Oryzias latipes: one gene and its partner. The protein of the gene in region 2 purifies or fractionates together with the protein of the main gene of each other region. This does not show direct contact. Links are inferred from orthologs where the notes say so. Each region holds a gene or a part of one and is shown on either strand. Other genes may lie near its edges.

Region 1 (3,833 bases), on a different chromosome or scaffold from region 2:
TAACCCAATGCACCATGGGCGTTGTAGTGAAAAGCAGTAGCGCTGATGCCAGATATTACATTTCTGAACTTCATTATTTTATTCACTTTTTACACTGTCTGACACCGGATCCTGCGGTAAGCTATTAGGGGTTCACAGATTATCTGACTTGTACCAATCCCTAGCCTTTGTTCTTTTGACAGACATATTGAACTATATGGCTTAGGAATGGGATGACACTTCAGTTCATATGAAAGTCAAGGCAGGTGAGCGAATACTTTGGGTAATATAGTGCATTTTAAGCAGCAACATAAGTTCCAGGAAAATAAAAGCAAACCACCATAATAGAGTATATTGGTAAACACCATGAGTTGACTTAACAGGATTGTTTTCTTCACAAAATAAAAATTCGGGTAATTTTCCTACTCCAGATAAGAGAATTGACCAAGCAGATCTAACACTAAATAACTGGTTACTGAAACCAGCAATAGTGGTCATAACTGAACCGTTTGAGTATACAAAGTAGTCATGAGACATAGTCCTATTGTGTGCTTACATGTGCAATGATTGTCTAAACACAATGAGCAGTACAAACACCTCCCTGTGCACAACACATCAGGACGCTGGCTTCTCATTTAGAAATGGGGGGAAAGGCTACAATTCAGCACAATGTGACCTGACCAACCCAGACCCCCCAATTCAATTCAAACGGAACTGCATGTGCTAGCATAAGCAGGCGCAGCTCATCCCAAGCCCCCGCCCCTCCCAGCGGCTTCCCAAACTCACAACGCTGACAGAACATCACTCAGACAGCCATGACATCATATACTGGGATTCAGAAAATGTATTGCTTTCACTTTGGTTTACACTGATAATTCAACAAATCAGATGGGGTATGGTTAAACCTATTAAACATTTGTGACAAAACACCCCAAAGAAAGACCCACTCAAATCATCTTTGGATCTATTTTAAAAGCATCCAGTGATGTTTTAATTATGATAATGATTTAATTATGATTTTTAGCCAAAATCAAACACCAGTGAGAGCAGCAGCAGTTCATTAGAAATTCACCTCCGAGTTGTGGACAGGACTGTTTGTGTGGAGTAAGTCCGCCCCCACTTCCCATCATACATCTGTTTACATGCTTTCCCACAAGTTTACAGCCCCTTACAACCCCAACCTAACATTAGCGGTGCAACAAAAATGGCGAGCAAAATTTGAAGCTATCCAGCTGTACAGTTGACCCAGATGCCAGCTCAGACGAGGAAAACAAAGACAGACATGGATCTGGTCGTCTACAAGTGGTTGCATAAGAATGGCTTGCCAACGTTTTTTCTACATCACAAATACAATCCATTTCAAACTGCATTTTCCCCCTCTGCTCCTGATTAACCATTAGTCAAGAAAAAGTCAGAAATGCAGTTTTGAACATAAATTTGTTTATATATGTCACCAATCATCATTAACTGCATTAAACCATTTCAGCATCACCAACAGTTTCCTGGGTTTAAAAGAGTTTCACTCACCCGTTAAGACGCTTTAGTTTCTTTGGTGGCAACAGTTTCCAATTCCAAATCTCTTTAGCAAAAAGAGAAAGGAAATAGTTTATTCCCAAAGATAAATGAATAAAGTTAAGTGTAACCAGAACATTTTCCTGCAGAAAGTACCCGATTGTGCAAGAAAATGATTCTAGTGAACACCATAGTACAAGTTCCCAGAGGCATTAACTTGTAATATGACCTGCAAACTTTGAAACATTCCTAAAATCACATTCAGGGCAAACATCCAAATTATCCTGCACGCATAGACACTAGCATGAAGTATTATGCAAGTTCAGTACATACACTCAAAGTGAACTGTGGTGAAATGCACGTTTACACTGCCTTAACGTGGTACAGAGGTTTCTTACAGCTCGTCAAAGTGAAGGGAAACCAAGTGCGTGTAAAGTGACAGCAGGGGACAGTGAGAGTCTGTGTAGGTCAAAGTTACAAGTCGGGTCCTGAACGGCCATTATCTCAGCTGTTGCCCGACTTGCAGCTTAACCAACATGGCTTCTCTCTCCAGCTGTAGGTTTGCAATCAAATCTAAGAACCTCGAGTGATAAGTAAATTTACCACCGATGCATATTCATCTAAACTCTGATGTCCACCTCGGTGTTGTAAGATCAGGACGAAAAGTAATGTGGATTTGACTACAAAAAAACCCAGACCAGATTAGGGGTTTAGGGGTATTGCTGTCGTACCGCTTTATACCATAGGGGGCTTTTATCTAACAACTCCGCAGGTTAATTTCAATATAGATTTGAAATTAATTCATGACATTTTTAATTTATATGCGAAGTGATAGTAGTAAAACAGTGTTCTTAATGCAATTTGTGCACAGTATTACCTGTTCCCACCGACGAACCTGCGTCGTCAAATTAGCATGTTGCTAAGCTAATGCTAATAGCAACTACGAGGTATTTTTCCTCTAATTTAGCGATATTGGTAAGTTGTTTACAGAGAACAATGATAGTCTAGACAAAGTAAAAAAAAAATACATTTAAGACAATTAGTTAACAAAATACGCATTTTCCTAGCTACAAACATACAGCGACCAATCTAGAATAGTTAAGCGAAAGGACAAGGTTAAACCGCCTTGTTAACACATTTAAAATGGCTTTATTTTTCATTTGCGTTTAGGAAAAAACAAACGAGAGTTGCATCTTTAGCAAAACTATAAAACCAAACCGCCTTTCTAAACGCAACCTGATAGGATAGGAAAGGATAGCATAGTAGTACTTAACAATATTAGCTCCGTCATAGCTAACTAAACAACAGCGGCTGGTCAACTTATCTACCGACCTCTGGTCTTTCCTCCAGCTCCTTGCCTGCATAGCTTAACACAAGAACATAAATAAAAAATAAATAAAAATTAAAACAAAACTTACCTCATTGAAATATAAAGTGCAACAGAGAGTGGAAAATAAACTAAGTAAGGCTAAAGAAATGCAATGCGTTTGCAGCATCTACGAGTGGGGGCATTCATCCTCTGCACGATCGCCATTTTCTTGGCTCGCCGCTTTCGTTTGTGCTCTACGCTCCCCTCCTCTCTGCGTTCACTCCGTAGACATTAATAAGGTTTACACTGGCTCAGGCTGTGTACGTGTGTGATTCTAAGAGGGGGGAAGGAGGCGGGGGCGGAAACGCATAACCACTTCCTCTGACTGAGAAGACAAAACGCTGTAAAAACAAACAAACAAGAAAAACAATATATTATAGAAAAGCTATTCAGTCGCATTAAATTCTGCTTTCATCAGACAAACATAAACAAAAGTATATTGTTTGACGATTTATAAATTTATTAAAATTTAAGAAAAAAATTTGATGTAAGATTTGAAACACATAGGAAATGCTGTCCGTTTTAAATTTGTCTCAAATTATAGAATTTTGAAAGTGTGTCACTCCCCATCTAAAACATACTTTGGTATTTCTACATAGTTAAAGTTTGATGGCAAGTACGACAATTGTGACAAATAAATGCACATTTTGTGTATGAAATTACACATTTAAAGCAAAATACTTTAACTTGTGGATGAACAAGACAAGGAACTTTCCTTTAATAAATTTGTAAAATCAACTGAAAATGGACAAAACTAGAAAACTATTGACAAGGTAAAAATACTTATAAATACAAATACTAATAAAATACTAATAAATAATAGTAATAAATAAATTATACATATACATATACATATATATATATATATATATATATATATATATATATATATATATATATATATATATATATATATATATATATATATATATATATATATATATATATATATATATTGTCTATCTATCTATCT
Region 2 (3,611 bases):
CTCAACTGTGTGTCTGTGGGGGGGTCGGAGGGAGGGAGGTGTTTGTTTTTGTTTTTTCATTTGTGCATTGGAGCCCCACCCCCACGGAGTGGGACTCGCAGTGCTAGATTGCTGGTTGAGAACAGGCGGCTGGATCGGGAACGCTGGTTGGAGATCGTTCCGTGACTCTTCCTCCCGCTCCTCTTCCTCGCGCGAGCCGCTTTGGTGAAGGATCCGAACCGAGAGCGAACAGAAAGACGACAGAGACAGACGAGGAAGAGACGAGTATCAGAGGACGGGTGGTCCTCAGGCGAAGTACATGGTGTGCTGTGTGTCGTAGTGGATCTGAACCGCCTTTGCCAAAGCCTGCGGGTCGCGGCCGTTGCTCTGACCCGACACGTGGCTCCCCTCGGCGCTGGAAGAAAAGAAGCCGACACACAGCGAGTCAGAACCGACTTCACGCTCAAGAGGCTCCTCTGCTTTCTGATCACATGCAACTGGACTCATCATGGTGCCTCCACATCTTCTAATAGCCCAGACTCGTGGTTCTTCTGGAACCTGATGTGCTCTCGCACAGAGCGATAGTCTCACCTGTCGTGGTCTTTGTCCACCAGGTGGTAGCGAGCGCGAAAAGCAACCAGCCTGGCGTAGTAGGCAGGCGCCGGGATGGAGACTGAGCGCGTGCAGCGCACATAGGTGTGGCACAGCTGGTAGGTGAGGAGCTGCAGCTCGTCGGCCGTGAAGCAATTATCATCCCACAGGACGTGGTAGTGGGAGGGGCGACTGGTTCCCTGAGGATGAGAAATTGTTTGATTTTATTTTTAAAAAAAAATCTGATTATTGTATATATCCAACACCTTAATTGTCCACTCAGATCTTCAACATACTTCAACCAGTTTCATTATTTTCAGTATCTTTCAAACAGATTCCTAAACATTTATGCAAGAAAAGCAATTTATCTTAGGATCAGTAGTCTAGCTTTTTAGCAACTTTTGGTGAGATGAGCATAAAGCTAGCTTTGTGGTGGTAGTAAGTTTAGTGCTAAGCTTTGTCATGATATTGTTGTCACTAGGCTAGCTTAATTAACTACTTCTGTTGTTATTAGCATGAAGTTAAGCTTCTTACAGTTATTTCTTTGTTTTTTAAGCTAATTTGACAGTGTTAAATGTTTTTTTTCCCAGTTTTTAAATAATGACAGCTTTTTCAGATAACAGTTAACCAATAACATCAACAAAGCAATCACAGTCATTTCAACAGGAATTACATTTAGCAAAGGCATCATTTAAACTCTCTTATCCACTCAAAAAAGCTTTTGTTAGCACCCTAACCCCCCACCTGAATTCCAGCATGGCTGCACAAGTAGAAGTCAAACTCAGACGGATGCGTGATGGTGCTGTCCACAGTGGTGCCGGCTGGAACATTTCCGCTCTTCCCCACCTGCAGAGCAAAACAAAAGCCCGTGAGACTAAACAGAAGTACAGTGTGTGCCGCGGCGGGGGCGGGTCCACCTACCCTCTCAGCTTTGTCGGAGCAGAACAGACGCGTGTGATGGCGCTTCTGCACCACGATGTAGGTGATGCCAGGCCTGTAGTCCTCTTCCAAACTGATGCACGCCTTCCTTATGGCGATCAGCTCCGGCCAGGCCACCTGAAACACGGCGGGAGCGTCAGTACGGCCAGACTCGGGACCCGTCCCGCTCTGGACGGCTTCAACTGTGCACTTCACCTGTTTCATCTGTCCCTCGGAAACGCCGCCGCGATAATAAATGATGCGTGTGGGCTTGAATCGTGTGGACTTGTAGAACTGGATGAGAAGCTCGCGCACCATGTTGGTCAGGTCCTGGATCACCTCCTGGCTGAAAAGCTGCTCCTGTAGAGACCATTTCAGTCATTCCCTGCCCAAAACTACAGCCCCTCTTCCACTCGCCCTGACACAAGTCATGCAGTCCAACAGGCACCTGGGACATGTCCTGCCGAGATGTCTGAACCCGCACCGTCGCACAGTACCGGCTGGGATGGCCGTCCATGCTGCCCACCACGGCTGCGATGGACGGCTTCTTGCCGTCCCCGGCAGGAGGATGAGTGACATCGGCACCGAGGAAGATGACCGGCTGCTGGAAGACTGACGGCCTAAATGGAGCGCAAGAGAGATAATGTTGGCAACTGCATTTGTAGAAGTGTCTATGCTGGGGCTACTTTTGTTACTTCAGATCTAAAAACAAACTGGCTTAATGTTCCAGGACATTAAGAACTTCAAGTCATCTCCTAACGTGTGCTAACGAGGATTTCTCTAAATGAATATTTCACCATGACACAGGTACTGAGCTCAATGATGAACCCAGTGGAATACAGCTAACTGAAATCTGAACAAGATGGACGACCCAACTACCTAAGCACATTCCTATAGACTTCTCCAGGCTGCAGATTAAGTCATTATTATTTTTTCCTGAGAAACGCAGTTGGTAGGAACTTCCTGTATCAGTAAACTGACCTCTGATGAGGCACCAGCACATTGTTGATGCCTCCCAGCTTGGCGTTGATCTTCAGGCAGAGGTTGGACAGAGTCTGAGGAGACGTCTTCACCACATTCTTCACTTGCACACACTGAGTCGCCATGCCAAGGAGGGTGTCCCCCACCCGCTTCACTTCGGCTGCAGATCCAAAGGACGCAGAGGTCAGCATCACTGGAAGGTAGAGGGACCCGAGCAGGGCGACTGACTCGTACCGTAGACAGGGGTTTTTCCCGGCAGGATGACCACGATCAGCTGGAGACCCACGTACGACATCTTGAGGTGTTTGAACATGGGCTCCACGCTGTCAGCTCCCTGGGCATATTTACAGAAACACGGCTGACCCTGGATGGGCATTCCAGCATCCTTTGAGATCTTCCTCAGCTGGTCCGTGAAGCTCCTGCAAGGAGAACATCAGTCTGATGAAACCTCTCCATACCTGGGCTTCTTCGTCACTTGAAGAGCTCAGAGGGACTACTCACTTGAGCAGGTCCTCCCGGCACTGCTTCTGCGGGGCAAAGCAGGCCACGGCCCACACCTTGATCTCAATTCCAGCATAGAACTGCTTCCCTCTCATGTCCCACACGCCTTGATTGGGCGTGGCCACGGTTTTATTCTGCGGAGAGAGTCCCTGCACTCTTAGTCAACCCCACAGCTGGAGGAGCCTTCAGCAATGTTAGTAAACTTCAATCAGAATAAAGAAAAGAATCATTCTGAGTTTATTCTGAGCACTGCTGACTTGTTTGGAGGAGGAAAGCTCGGTTTCGTGAATGAAATGAAAACTGCAGCTCAGAGTCTGAAAGAAGCGTAAACGTCAGAAGCTAAAACGGTTATTCTGAAATGGTTTGAACAATTTGAGTAGAAGAAAGCATAAAATTACAAAAGGAGTTTAGAAAATTATTTTAAGCAAAAATGTAAAAAAACAAACAAAAACACAGATGTGTTGATTCAGCGAGAAAAACTGCCGGTTAGTTAGAGCAACACTACTGAAGTGCAAATCACATTAACAAATCACTTAACGCAAAAACTGATAAAAGATGACAACGACAATTAAACTAGAAAAAGAAAACGACTTTTTAGATATCAATTCAAAACAAAATGCCAAAAAACAAAACATTCAACA

What was found.
Region 1: the proteins of protein argonaute-4 (region 2) and tnrc6a purify together in Homo sapiens (co-immunoprecipitation; 4 studies listed by BioGRID and IntAct, with this or other methods). This does not show direct contact. The link is inferred for Oryzias latipes from reciprocal best matches to the Homo sapiens genes AGO4 and TNRC6A.

Annotation. Positions count from the first base shown.
Region 1 is NC_019866.2:17,691,495-17,695,327, reverse strand, and holds the start of tnrc6a (trinucleotide repeat-containing gene 6A protein), read right to left. Parts: upstream 3,119-3,833; 5' UTR 2,910-3,118; intron 1,559-2,909; exon of another isoform or gene 1,507-1,558; intron 1-1,506.
Region 2 is NC_019869.2:20,065,021-20,068,631, reverse strand, and holds part of protein argonaute-4, read right to left. Parts: intron 3,105-3,611; coding exon 2,971-3,104; intron 2,889-2,970; coding exon 2,704-2,888; intron 2,630-2,703; coding exon 2,470-2,629; intron 2,109-2,469; coding exon 1,937-2,108; intron 1,849-1,936; coding exon 1,705-1,848; intron 1,627-1,704; coding exon 1,492-1,626; intron 1,417-1,491; coding exon 1,315-1,416; intron 771-1,314; coding exon 571-770; intron 395-570; coding exon 286-394; 3' UTR 1-285.